Styela clava: one gene and its partner. The protein of the gene in region 1 binds, or shares a complex with, the protein of each later gene. Links are inferred from orthologs where the notes say so. Each region holds a gene or a part of one and is shown on either strand. Other genes may lie near its edges.

Evidence for each region.
Region 2: nuclear cap-binding protein subunit 1-B-like (region 1) and nuclear cap-binding protein subunit 2-like share a complex: the UniProt entries of both Drosophila melanogaster proteins name them as parts of the nuclear cap-binding complex. The link is inferred for Styela clava from reciprocal best matches to the Drosophila melanogaster genes Cbp80 and Cbp20.

What each region holds. Positions count from the first base shown.
Region 1 is NC_135261.1:13,146,812-13,154,498, forward strand, and holds the start of nuclear cap-binding protein subunit 1-B-like, read left to right. Parts: upstream 1-4,684; 5' UTR 4,685-4,806; coding exon 4,807-4,858; intron 4,859-5,325; coding exon 5,326-5,530; intron 5,531-6,025; coding exon 6,026-6,182; intron 6,183-6,665; coding exon 6,666-6,787; intron 6,788-7,372; coding exon 7,373-7,553; intron 7,554-7,687. UniProt on the Drosophila melanogaster protein: Component of the cap-binding complex (CBC), which binds cotranscriptionally to the 5'-cap of pre-mRNAs and is involved in various processes such as pre-mRNA splicing and RNA-mediated gene silencing (RNAi).
Region 2 is NC_135252.1:23,083,300-23,090,752, forward strand, and holds the start of nuclear cap-binding protein subunit 2-like, read right to left. Parts: upstream 3,006-7,453; 5' UTR 2,876-3,005; coding exon 2,601-2,875; intron 1,753-2,600; coding exon 1,614-1,752; intron 1,181-1,613; coding exon 1,064-1,180; 3' UTR 1-1,063. UniProt on the Drosophila melanogaster protein: Component of the cap-binding complex (CBC), which binds co-transcriptionally to the 5' cap of pre-mRNAs and is involved in various processes such as pre-mRNA splicing and RNA-mediated gene silencing (RNAi).

The DNA of each region.
Region 1 (7,687 bases):
GTTGAATCAGAGCAGAACGTTTGACCTTTGATCCTCAAACATCATTTTTATACTATGTCATTAATTTCGAGAGTGTTCTTACAACTTTAGATACTGTTTAGTACACCCGCGTAAAATTATTGGATAGAACATACGTTGAATCAGAGCAAAATGGACAGTTGACCATTGACCCTCAAACATTATTTCTATACTTTGTCATTAGTTTTGAGAGTGTTTTTGCCACTTTAGATACTGTTTAGTACATCCGCTTAAATTTATTGAATAAAAAATACGTTATATCAGAGGAGAATTGACGCTTGACCTTTAACCCCCTAACATTATTTCTATACTTCGCTGGTGGGGGAAGTCGTAACTGACTAGCGTCGGCGAGGAGTCCAGCAATCTACTCGCACATAATTATATTAACCGAATTCCTATTGTTGATGATGGCTAATAATGCATTGTCGAGTAACGTCCATAATAATTGATTGAGCTATGTGTCTGGTGCTAACGTGTCGCAGTTGCGTCACTCTCTAATATGTTCTGTTGCTGTAAGCATCTTATGTTGTGTGTTGCGCTGGTGTAATAAAAAAGTGTAAGCGTATTCAGTTGACATATAACCGTTGACCGTAACATATAACTAAGACATTATTAACACCTATCATTCAACACGATGCGCCACACCACCAAGCAATTATGAAATAAAGTCGTTTTTGCTACGCATTTTTCGATCAAGCCGAATCTTGCAAGCTACCATGTAGTCAACAATCGATCGTGGAGCTACGATTTGTTGGCATACATTTTAATTTTTCCACAAAAAAATCATACACAAAATACAAACAATTAACACAGAGAAGATTGGGAAAATCGGGGAAAACTGACAAAGCCTTTATAAAGTTTTAATATACGTAAATATACATGCGCCAGTTTACCCACATTCAACACAAACATATATTCAAAATAAAAAAGACAAAGACACGAACGGGTACCGGTGTTGTTCGGGCGTCAAACTTGTGTAACATAAACACTCGGTGGGACTCAATTATTAGCCTACTCGATTTTTGATTTAAAAGCTATTTTGACCGTAAATATATATATTACTGATTTTACCCGGTTTCATTGGTGAGCAATTGCAAATTTTCGGCGTGCAAAATTGACTCCACTCGCGTGCATTTTTGCGGAGCGCTAGCGCCCTCGGGCGTGCATTGTCATGGAATCTGCCAGTCTGGGTTGCGGCGTTTACTTCGTTAGACTCAGAATATTGTGAACTAATAATCACTGATGAAACAAACTGAAAAAACTATGAAAATCAATTTCAACAAATGGATTAGGAATTCAAAGGAATAGGGACTTATTTTGTTTAGACATTTATTCTTTTTTTGCATAGGCTATTTATTTAAATCACTCATTTTTATTCTTATTTAATATAATTGGGTGGCAACTGACTCTGATGACCCCCAAAGGTCGTATCGTTGCCCCCCAGTCATAGCCTATACCGAAAACTTTTTTTTTGATATTTGTTTATGTGTGCATAAATTGTTTTCTTGGTTTGACAAAATGAAATAAACCTTCTCTCTCTCTCTAACTCATTGGGTGAGCCAATCAAATAATCAAATAATAGTTTATTTATCCATAGGCTATTTATATTATGAGCACCATTGGTGCCCTTGCAATCTAATCTAAACTGCCATCTAATTTTGAGCCTAACCCTTGCTGATTTAAATAATAGTTTATTTTTCCACATTTATATATTGAGTACTATTTGTGTATCTGCAATAACTGCCATCTAATTTTGAGCCTAACCCTTGCTGATTCAAATAATAGTTTATTTCTTCATATTTATATATTAAGTACTATTTGTGTATCTGCAATAACTGCCATCTAATTTTGAAGCTAACCCTTGCTGATTCAAATAATAGTTTATTTATCCTATTTATATTTTGAGTACTGTTTTATGTATTCGCCAAAACTGCCATTTAATTTTGAGGCAAATCCTTGCTGATTCAAATTATAGTATATTTCTCCGTACTTATATACTGAATACTATTTGCGTATTTGCAATAACTGCCATCTAATATTGGGGCAAACCCTTGCTAAGTCAAATAATAGTTTATTTATCCATATTTATATATTTAATACTTTTTGTGTATTCGCAATAACTGCCATCTAATTTTGGGGCAAACTCTTGCTAAGTCAAATAATAGTTTATTTATCCATATTTATATATTGAATACTATTTGTGTATTCGCAATAACTGCCATCTAATTTTGGGGTAAACCCTTGCTAAGTCAAATAATAGTTTATTTATTCATATTTATATATTGAATACTATTTGTGTATTTGCAATAACTGCCATCTAATTTTGAGGCAAACCCTTGCTGATTCAAATAATAGTTTATTTATTCATATTTATATTATGAGAACCATTGGTGTATTTGCAATAACTGCCATCTAATTTTGAGGCTGAACCCTTGCCATATTCTTTATATTGAGGTCTATTTTGTGCATTTGAGAGGCTGACCCTCTCTATTTCAAATAATGTTTATTTATCCAAATTTCCACTCGATATTAAGATTACCAAAATTGTTTCACATTTGGGGCATATAATAGTTTATAAATTGGTACTTATATATGTATTTGTGGGTATTAGTCACCCATCTGTCTAAATTCTTTCTTGTTATAAGGCTGATTCCACTCTTTATACAATTGTTTCCCAATATTATATTCACATGACTATGAGTACCATTTTGTTTATCTCCGGAAACTTATTTTTATATGTGAGGCTTACCGCTTACTCACTCAAACAATTGTTATGTGTCCAACATTACATTTGAGTGTAGTAGTCCAATAGCCAAATTTGTTTTTTATTCATGGGACTTAGACCTCGCTTTCAAATAATAGTCTGTGTAATAGTTGATTATTCGTTCAAACTGTTTCATTTCTCAAAGACAAATCTTATCTTTTAAAAATTTACTTTGCTAAAATAATTATATTTTTTTTGTTCAATTTGTATAATGCGCCTCAGCCCTTCTCTTATTTTCTCATTTTGTTTTTAATCATCACATGTCGATGGCTATTGAAATTTGTAGCCCAATTGCAGGCAATTTAGGTAAATTAGATAACAACATCACATGTAATATCAAAACGATAAATAGCATCCCGATCCCGCTTACATATATTTTCCAAATATGTATCCATGACGAATGCTTGTAATATCCCTTCATAAATTATTCTCCCAGTCCAAAATGAATGCAATATTTCTTCAAATGAAAAATAGTAATGGGCTTCTTAGTTGCATCATACCACATTTATTTTGTTAGTTTTATAACTTTTCTGTATTACCATGTTTATTCAAATTGTTTGTTTGTATATATAGATGTTAACACGAACAATTGCTTAGTCCATTTTTTTGTTTTGTTCGTTTTTTTTTTTCTTTTCTTTCAAATTTTGTTTCATGAATTTTAACCACTTCAAATAGTCATATTTTACTGTGAACTAATCAGCGTAAACTTGGAGGGAGCTGACTCCGATGACCGCATGGTCGTATCGCTCCTTCCAGTCTATACCGAAAAAAGTGTATATATTGTTACCATTATTTATTGTTATGACTGTTTTTTTTTTCTGGTTGACGAAAATAAATCTCTCTCTCTCTCTCAATAAAAATAAAATACTAGATACCGGTATAAAATATGGATACAACGAAATTCTGTTATATTCGAAGGTACGGTATCCCCCCTGATCAGCACCTAGTTATCAAACAAATAAAAACTGCAATCACTTACAGACTCAACATTGAAAAAAATAGAAAATTACCCAATTTTGTCAGGGAATTTGAAATAGTCTACTTAGAAATTGTATTTAAACTATGAATCAAGTGTGTATAAATTGACTAGTATAAAAATGAACATGTCTAATATCTGAATATATTTAATTTTTCACTTTTATTGTACCGTACATATTATAACTCAATATACTAAAAATTGGTGATGCAATAGACATACTGACATGTGAAAAATTAATAACGGATTATTTATTTTATGACTGTTCGCCTGGTTATATACTTCAGTACTTTTAGTTATGTTTCATTATATAGACTAAAAACTTATACTTCTGTACTTATATATTATAGGCTACTTATTAGATTATCCCATCAAAAAAAATAATAGTGTGAGACTTTTAGCTCAGTACAGCAGTATCTCAATCAGTCAATTCAGCAGATTTTTACAATATTTATTGTTAGAATAACCAAATTCTAGTGATCTCTCAATTCTGCAATTACCATAATTGGAAGGAAGAAGTCGTTAGAAGTTTATTAACTACATTAAGTTTATCCAACAAAATTTTGTTATAAGTTGTCCATAGATCCCTTCAGCAATGTGGAAGCTTTGCCCGATTCTGAATCGTGTTTTTTGTATGCTTGTATTATTATTTTTTTTGATGGGCGGGCGTGTACTTTTACGTTTTTATGTTAGTTGTATGTTATGACTACCGAAATCAATGATTGATAATTAATTGATTTATAATTCAGAAATAATGATTTTAAAAATATATTTTGATTTTAACCTTTTAAATAAATTTGACCGTATTTATTTGCTAAACAAGTAGGCTGACCTGCTATTCCAATAATCCCTTCGAATGCCCCACAGAGACCTAATGTCAGAATGTTAACTTTGAATTTTCACAGAGACATTACTTCAAAAGCTTCTTATTCTGTCATTTCTGTATAGTACTGTAGTACCGGTACCAGTACTTCAGAAAGTCAAATTTAAGAATTTAGTCAATGTATAACTAAAAAAACTTGAGATTTGTTTCTATCCTTCGGTTGAAATGTCAAGAAGAAGACCTCATGATGCAAGGGACGCGTCATCAGAAGATGAAGGTATCGTATTGATTGTTATTTCAGTATACAGGTTTAACTACTAAAATGAGCACTACAAATGTAAAAACATTCCTCCCATTACACACTTTATTCTTTTATATAGTGGTCTTAGAAGATTTTACTGACAGAGAATCGTTCAATTTTTCCGTATAATTTTGCATCCTGGCATCTCATTGGACATTTGTTCACATATCAAAATATTTCACATAATTGTGTGTTTTTAGCGACAGCATGTCCGATTCACAAACCACATTTTATTCGACGCAGGTATAGGACTATCCGTGTACATGTGTACTCATTTCTGCATTTATACAAATAGGACTGCCTGCCTATATCGTATAATCTCGCAAAAAATTTCATAAAGTGGCAAATTCTGCTAAATTTGAATAACAATGTTCCAATATTTTCAAATGTTATTAGAATATTTTCGAATCCTAGACTATCAATAAATTATGTATTATATCCAGCTGAAGCAAGTGGTGGAAATCTCTCAAAGAGAAGAAAGACTACGGAAAGTTCTGAGGAAATTGAGAAGAGACTTGAATCATTAATTTGTAGAGTTGGAGAAAAAAGCAGTTCATCCTTGGAAAGCAATTTGGAAGGATTGTCGGTTGTACTTGAAGCAGATCTACCAAACTTCAAACCTCAAATTTTAAGGATTTTAGTTTTATGGTACTTTTTTTATTTTTTATATGTGATTTTTTTAGTAAATGTAAATTTTCTTCATATTTATGAACCTAAAAGTTTGCAGTTTCAGTTTTATTTGGGACCCAAATGTGATTAGTGATTGCCATATATTATATATTCTGGTATAATATTTATATTCAAATGAGCACTTTAGGTTGCATTTAGAATGAGTAATTCTTAAAAAATGAATAAAACATATAACAGCACATATAAAAGGAAAATTTATGTTAATGTAAATTCAGCCATTACTTCCTTTTATACATTGGTATTAATTTTTGGAGTGTTTTTTGCTCAAAGCCAGGTCGTGGGCTCTTGAATTAAAAGGGAATATATGTTTTTATATAGGTTTTTAAATAACCTACAGAGGTATGATCAATGAATTATGATGAAAAAAAACAAGGAATCATACAGACAGTTAAAAATTCCCTTAAAATATAAATTTATTTATTTATATTTTTACATCTACATTTTGTATTTCAGCTCTTATCAACTTCCAGAAAAATGTACGATATACACAACTCTTGTTGGTTTGCTAAATGTTCGAAATTACAATTGTGGGGGGGATTTTATTGAAATGATGGTTCGTGAATTAAAAAGATTGTTAAATGCTAATCAGTACGATGATGCTCGACATGTTGTAAGTATATATATTCATTCTGCAGTGGTATCTTAGTAGTATGCAGTAGTAGTGGTATCTTAGTATTATTTATGCCTTTGAAGTTACCGTGTCCTAACAGCTTGCTTGTGCGTAGCGAGCAACGAATGTCATGAGATCAACAACCAAAATGTTTGTGCTTGCAACTACTAGACAGCTTATGTTAAATAAAGGTGCGGCCCGCAGTTTTACCCAGTTATTTGTATCTGGCCCTTCTCTATTATTAAAGGTTGCACACCCCTGATTTAGAACATGTAGAATCTAACTAAGATGGTGCCGTTAGTTATGAAAAAAGGGGTCATGCGTACCAATCACCCAGAGGCCAGAGCATTATAAATTTCCAAATATAGTTGATGTTTCTCGTGTTTGTATAAAACTTTCTACATTGCAGACACAGAAGATACTTCATGATAGTATACTGTTTGCTATTGTCGACGTTCCTAAAATTTTGTATTTCAATTTCAGGTGAAGTTTATTGCAGATCTTGTCAATTGCCACATGGTTACTCCTGAATCATTGTTTGGATTTTACGAAAATTTATTTACTGTAATTAGAGAAGAAGATGTTCCTCAAGCTCGCAGAGATTGGTGAGTATTTTACATCAGTGGTTCTTAAGCCGGACCCCCTTTTCAGAATTTGTCAAGTATCGCGCCCCAGCTCAAAAATAACTAATTAACAATAAGCTACAAATAACAGATAGTAGAGCGAAAGTATGTATAATTCGAAAAACACATTGAAAATATGTGGATGGAACATATATATATCCAAAATAAAGAAAAGTAAATATCCAAAATAAGGTAGACAGGTAAGATCAAATTTGACAAATATTAGCGAAGCCAGAAGTCACATCAGCTGGCAATGATATATCCAAAACTAAGTAATTTAATATTTATTCATTTGATGTTTTTTACTATGTTATATGTTGGTTTCACAATTTTACTTCAAAATTATTAAAAGTTAAAACATTATATTGGGCGTAGATATGCTTATTTAGACCTAAAATCGGTATCTATGTGATTGAGTTCTGAATAGTAAAACAATTTTTAAATAACTTGAATTTCTATTTTATAATTTTTCACTTAGTTGATTCATTTTCAGCATATTATTAAATTGCTACCTTTGGCTGTATCTTTTATTAAATAAAATTAACAAATATACGTTCACTATTCCAGGTATGCATATTCCATATTAACTTCTCTGCCATGGGTTGGTGCTTTGTTACAAGATCAGAGGTCAACAGAATTAAATCAAGTTTTATCTGCCTTGCATGAATACATCACTAGGAAAAGAAAAAAAATCCATCACAGTTTCTTGAGAGTCTGGTCGTCAGATGAACCACATCCACAAGAAGAGGTGAGATCATAGGCATTTATTGTTAAAGGGATGTCAATTCTTTTCAATATTTTGCCTCGCAATGGATTGTGATCACTAGGGTCAACCTTAGCATGTATTGTTTGCAATTTACTTACAAAATCAGAGTGGAATAT
Region 2 (7,453 bases), on another chromosome or scaffold:
GTGCACAATTCAGTTCCGCAATTCCAATTTGAGAAATACACTAATAAAAATGAAAAAGTCGTAATAAAAATTAATTTTTGTGAAAACAACCAATGCAGGAACAGCGATGTCATCAGTTACAAGTGACTAGTCATGACCGACCAGCTATGATGTTCTTTCTGGAGTTAAGGCTCCGTCATGTTGGGTTATTAGAGTAACCTTGAACATGGGCATTTGCTAATTATAAATTTGAATAATATTGCCCAATATCAGATTTCATCAAAGCCCAGTTTACAGCACTACGCTATTTTTTGACTCAAGCTTGTGTCTGGAACAAATTTACAATCAACTCCAAACTGCTTTTGAAAATAATTTTGACTACAACTCCGATCGGGTTAAGTAAAATTACGATTGAGAGAATGAAATTTAGACGTTAGGGAATTCAGACTCCAGAGCGTTTGAAAATACAGCCCGGACTCAATTATCAACATGCTAAACTCTGACCCTGCTTCCAAGCAGGATATTTATTATGTCCAACATGAACGTTATTTGATGAAAACTCCAGGCTGCAAATATTTGTTAGTGTAGAGATGCACTTGCCAGTTTTCTATTAATTAAGGATGTCTAGGTTCTTTTATTCCAGGAATAATTTAGGAGGGCTCCATGTTGAAATTTGTCATCTTTGGCAAATACCATTAGACTGTCAGACAAAAAATGAGGTTAGTTCAATTCAAACTCAGAAGTTGTGAAAAGATTACCATACATTAAAATGTTTGGACCAAATTTTGAAGGTGACAAATTTGAATATATTCCTCCGGTATGCCATATTCAAATAAGTTATTTCAAAATAATAAACAATTTGGTAATGGTCATCCCTGGTCGTACGATAACGATATGGTCGTACAAAGATAACTTGTTTTCAAGATAATTCTATAGTGGCTGCAACCCAACTTACATAAAAATGGCTTTTTGTCCAAATAGGTGGAAATAAAAAGTACAATTTCATGGAGTAACAGCAGTTATCCGACAACTTCGCAGAGTTTTTCTCTTGCCACAGAGGGCACAGACAGCCATGAAAGATTATTTAGTTTTGTTGTTGATTTTTCTGTCCGAACTTGTTAGGATTCTTTGGTTTTAGTTGAGCTCTGACACCAAATCCTCCCCTTCCTGGGTCATAATCTGATCTGTATTCATCACGAACCTGAAGACAAAAACATAAATATGTAATTTTATCATAAAAAGTCTAGTCGTGCACAATTGGAAATGTGCATTTTCCAAAGATATTAAATTTGTGATTGAAAGCTTCAATATTAAATGATCAGGAAATAAACTGCACAGATAGGACACAGATAAAACATTTCAGCATAGATTTTCGATGTCATTACCTACCCAAAAATAAATTAAATCAACTTTTTTAAATTACCAATTGAAAATTTATTTGACACAAGTTTAGACCCACATTTTGACTCATGCTTTTGAGTTTAATTTGAGGAATTTACCTAGCAAGTAGCAAGCATTACCCAAGATGTTGGGAAACATTTTTTCAGAATGAATTTGGAGAAGTGGATTATTAAGTGCTGGTTATCTCTGTCTTTACTCCTCTGTAATATACAAAACAACTGCAAAAAACATACCTGTCCACCAGATTTTCCTCTTCCAAATTGCCTTCCTTCTTTGAATCCAGCATCCCAGTCTGTTCGCACAACTCTGTCATCAAGCCTCGTTCCGTTTATATACCTGATGGCATCAGCAGCGTGATCTCTTGCGTAGTATCTGAAATAAATGTACAGGGTGTCCATAAAGCTTTTTAACAATTTAAAAAAATTATTACATAGTAAAATGATGAGATATCGCAATGAGGGTTGTTTTATGTTAATCAGTATTTCATAAAATTGTTATTGACACATTTAATACACTTATATACGGGCACCATCAGTTATAAAAAGCACATCCAGACGGTACTTAATTTCCTGTCATGTTCGTTGTAGCATAGCCTCATCAATGATTGCAATGGCACTGGAAATTTGGGTCTAGTATAGTTTAGTACTACAAGTACTTCCAATGGACGTAGCATAACGAATTTTGCATATGTTATTCCTCACCCCCACCTGACTATGCCATCCACTACGACGAGGTCACCATCATGTCATAGAGCTTGCCAAAGTATAATTGAGATCGCCCGAAATGGCATCTGCGACGCTGATAACGAACTCGCTAACGCCGGCTATCTCCCTCCTACCTCGATTTCGGGTGATCGTCTGCGCATTTTGGACGACCATCCGCATACTTTGGTGGGCCTTCTTACGCCACTTTGACGTCGAAATGACGTAATGTTTCGGTGACGTAGTCAGGCGGGGGTTAGGATTGACATGTGCAAAAATTGTTGAGCCAGGCCAACTAGAAGTGCATGTGGTACTAAACTATACCAGACCTGTAAATTATATGTTTTAGGTTGGTCATGTCCCGTTTATTTGTTCGATACACAATATACTTTATATAACCCTAAAGAAAGAAGTCCAGAGGGCTCGTATCTTGTTTCCTAGGGCTCCAAGAAAATGACTGTTGAAAATTTGAGAAAACGATGTGTAATTGACTATACCCCACAAAAAAACTTTACTTACTCAACAAAGCAAAAGCCGCATGGCGTTTTCTTATATTTATCTAAACCCATAACAACTCGTTTAATATCTCCGCATTTTCCAAAGAGTTCATATATCTGTTCTTCTGTTGTATAATATGATAAATTCCCAACATAAAGCGTTGTAGTCAGGTTCAAAAGCTTGTCTTGTTGGTCACGACTCCCCTTGAAATGCTGATCGCGGTACGGCGTTAGTTCTACGTAAGGATCCTTGGCTACAGGCCTTAAAATAGTCTTTTCCGTTATATCCACATCCATTTTAATAAGTGTTACTCCTCCAATAGTGAGAATGAACAATATTTTAAAAATATTCGAGAAAACGCGTTTACAGTTTCACAACCCTGCAGCTACACCTCTGTGAAGTTAGCAGAAAATGTTGGGCCTACTCTAACCTTTGACCCAAGATCTTCGTAATTATTCGGGCATGCTTTGGGCTTGAAGTGAAAGTGAAATAATTCGGCCCGCGACGCTCCACTGAAGTATAGATACAAAACGGCTGCTTTGACGATTATATTTTTTAGGTAACAGAGTTTATTGTGAGTCACGTGTAGACTAAATTATAATATGACCTAACACGCAAAAAGTATTCAAATGGACTTTTTGAGGTGCAACGCATTGGGGAAATAAATCTATATTCTATTCGAGAGGTGTATCACTGGTTGATTTTTATAAAAAAGTATTTTCTTTGAGGAAAACTCTATCCAAAATTAACAACAAAATTAACCATGCGAAAAAATTCACATTGATGTTTTTGGAAGTAGGCTACATATGCATGCGAACAATTATTTTCGAAAATGAACATAACAAAAAACAAGAGAGCTATGCTCAAATATATGGACACGTAGACTCACATAATTTTGATGACGTCATAGCGAAAAAAAAGTAATAGCCTTTATCTTGAACCAATGAAAATTTCAAAGCAATTGGTCCAGTATTCGAAGAGAAAAGCGACTTCTTCAAAACGTGTTGATGGAGACAAATAATAACAATAACAACAAAATTTTGAAACGATCGTTATGTCCACTACGTGTCCAACAAGCAGAAAACTCGGATGAGTGATTCCCATTTATATAAAATGTTTTAATCTTGGTTTCATCCAGTGTCCGATTTGAAAATGTTTCCCAATTAGTGTGATGTCGAAAACGTATCAAGCGTGATGCATTAAAAAGTGTCACGTTAAATGTCAATAGTAAATTTTTTTCTGAAAGTAAAATGACGAAGTTTAGTTCATGAGTTGTCTCGGTTTTTGCGTGCTGCTTAAAATTTAAAATTTTCACTTCTGTCTGTGTGAAAATTGTGATTTATCGGCCATTCGTTCGGTTTTTATTTTTCTAAAAAAATATGCGGCCATAATTTTGGTCCGCGAGCTACAAAAGGTTGCCGAGCCACGGCCTAGCCTAGACCCTAGGACAGGGATTCCGGACGTGGTTCAGATGGACCCCCAGGTGACTAGTCCAAAATTGTACAGGGTAATAATATTGAGTGCATCAAAATTAAATAGTTCTATCAAGACAGCAAGTGATTTTAACTTGGATATTTCCAAGAAACACTCGGGGGAAAAGGCCCACTTTGAATAAAAATTAGGGGTCCACCATTAAAAAGGCTTGGCGAGCCCTGCTTCGGGAGGATAAAAAGTCGATAGACTGCTTGGTAATACAGCTAACTAGAGCCCTTCGTTCGGTTATCAGTCCGCATAGGTTATCCCATAACCATTATTGGAATTATTACCCACGGCGGTGTGGCGCGTCGTGTTGAGCTGAAGCGCTCGCTACCGCACCTCTGATTAACTTGCGTGCATTTGCAGGTTCGAATCCCGAGGGGATTATTATGTGCGAGAGGATTGCTGGACTCCTCTATGATTATGAATGAAAGTGTGACGAACCGGTAACTCGCGTGGTTACCAGTCTATATCGGGTATGCAATAATGAAAAGCGTACATGAAGACGAGAAAATAAAATTCACGGGCAAAGCCCACTTGTAAAATTGTAAATAATTTTGATGAGCGAAAGTGGTAAAGAATATAAAAACAATTAGAAGTTATACAAAGGTGCCTGCGCCCGAATGCGAATCCTAATAATGAGTGATTAGCTTCAATTTTTTTGGTAAATAGACAAAGCTAAAAAGTAAACAACAAACATAAAACTAGTAGCGTTGCCCTTTGCTGTGTAACAAAATTGGTTCGAATTTAAAAAGTTTACATTTGAGAATTTGTAATGTTGATCATTTGCCAATGAAGGTCATTCATAAAATTAACTTAAATCTGGCAACAACTACCGATCCAAAAACTTCAATATGCATGCAGACATCTCGGCTTCTTTACACCAAAGCTACTCAACTATTTTCACCGAAGATTCGTATAAAATCTTCGAAATTATTGGGGTCCCGTATTTCCAAAAATAGATTTCACAGTGCGCCTAAATATATTTCAGTGCCTACAACTTTTAGGTTTAAGCGTAAACTGAAAAACGGTTTGGTGCAAATAAAAACATAACTCTCAGTACAGTACAGAAAAGAGAATTTAATAGAAGGAAACCTACGCATATCCTAACTCAACTCTTATCCTCCATGGTAGAGTAGGCCTACTGCTTCTTTTTGGTTTTCGTGTCTATTTATTTGAGCATCGCTCTCATGCTTGTAATGTAATCAAAATTGAGAACTGTAAGATGATATTTATGACCTCATTATTAATGCTATACTTGTCACCGTTGACTTTGCTTGCTTACGCTCTCTCTTGCTCGTACTGCATGCTGCTAAGTATTGCAATCTATGATGTCTATGTTATATCCATAAATATACTCAAACATCCTGAACAGTTGTGTGTTTACCCACAAACAAACAAGAACGACGTAGCATAAATTGAATCGTTTCGTCAGCCTGATTCTGATTTTTTTGACATACTTATAGACTTTTCGTTTGATTCATGAAGAGAATCTATTGGCCACGTTTTTAAAAACAATCAGTTTCGTTGGAAATTCATCAGGGCAAAGCCCACAAGACACGGATTCGTGAAAAAAAAACATTGGCCCGACAATTGCTGAATCCGCACAAGTACAAGGCGAGCTTGCCCTTAACACAGTGCCCATCAGTTCTCCCTTTCCATTTAGATGACGCTGCTCGATAACCATGACTGGTTTATCGTCTCCCTTCACGCTGAAATACATTATTTATATTTTATCCTACTGTTTGTAAACTTCCGTATTCTTAGTATGTGCAAAAATAAACTACTGACAGACATCTAAAGATAACATTCACATGACCTTGACAACATAAAGCTTCTCTGAATTATTGCCGACTCATTTTTTTCTTATATTAAAATTGCCTCATAATTTCGGGTAGTATACTCTTACCGTAGCCTATCATAAATGCTTAAAAAAAATTAACGTTGTGAATGAGAAGCCTCGGTGACCTTCATTTGTTTACAAACTGATCCCAACAAAAATGATATGATCCGAATTGCGGATTTTATATTCAATATTGTATATATATTTACTTGTTAATGGTGAAAAATCTCTTCTTCTTTCCTAGACACTAACAATCCCATTACATATAATTATTGCTCATTAGTTCATTGAATCGAAACTCAAAAGATTAATCAGTTTAGGCCCAGGGATTCTCAAACTACAGAGCCTTTGTAGAGGTTGACTATTATTCACAGCCCCACAAACATTTTTAAAAACCAATAAAAAAAAACACAGTGTTACTTACCGATTAATATTCCTGAGTAAGTTAAAATTACTTTACTTAATTTGAATGTTGAATCTTTTTTAATAGGGTTAATACAAGCCATGAATAAATCTGAATTTCCCAGATAAATTATATATATTATGACTGTATTAGGGCTTTATCACTTGACAAACATATCAATAAATTCGGGGTCGAACTCCTTCCCTTTTGATATTTTTGGTAGACTGAAACCGTTGCTAATAACGTGTGCGATTGTATATTTTGAAATCGCCGATTGTTTTTTAGACCGTGGTTTACGTCAGTGGTTCCCAACCTTTCTACCCTGGTGGACCAGTAAAATTAAAATAAAAGTACTCGCGGACCGGCAAAAAATTGAAATGACCGAAACAGAAAAGAATAACATTTATTTGCGTAGTACAGCGGTGTTTATTCTCCCCAAATCACAAAAGTTCCTTGGCATATGCAGGTATTGTTCCACAAGGACGACGATAAAAACTTTTTTGTTCTCGTACGGAATTGTAAGTTCAGTGTGAAAAACAAATTTCTTGATTGAAAAGCGGCATTATAAAATATTAAAATTTAACATAAAACGGAAGATAAGACCATAAGTTTTGTTTTAGCAGACCCACGACAGATTAAAAACGTGTAAATCACAAAATTTGGCGTTATGTCAGGTTTTCTTCGGAAATTATACGGTAGTCGCTGAAATCAAAACACGGTCAATTATGCGCGCGATGTAACTTTTACCCATTCTGAAAACACCGCAGGAACCGCATGCGACTTTTTCTCGTTATGTGGCGATGATAATTATTGTGAAGTATATCAATCAATTTTTTTGCAGTTAAAAAATTTCAATCGTTCGTATTTTGTCCGGAAATTTCAAACGTTAAAAAGAATCAGGGACAGACCTGCGATAGAGCGGAGTAAGTGTTGCAAGAGCGGCCCAAATTTGTCGAATTCGATAAATCGCTGTAATTTGTCACACAATCAGTCATGATATACAAGTGATAGCCATGATATATATCGTTTATTTGACTTTGTTTCCAATATATTTATAGTTGGCAGTTTAGCAAGTGTTTTATGTTATTTTAGAATAGTAATCTTTCATTTTAGTAATTTCGACTCAAAGACGAGAAGCGATGAACAGAATTA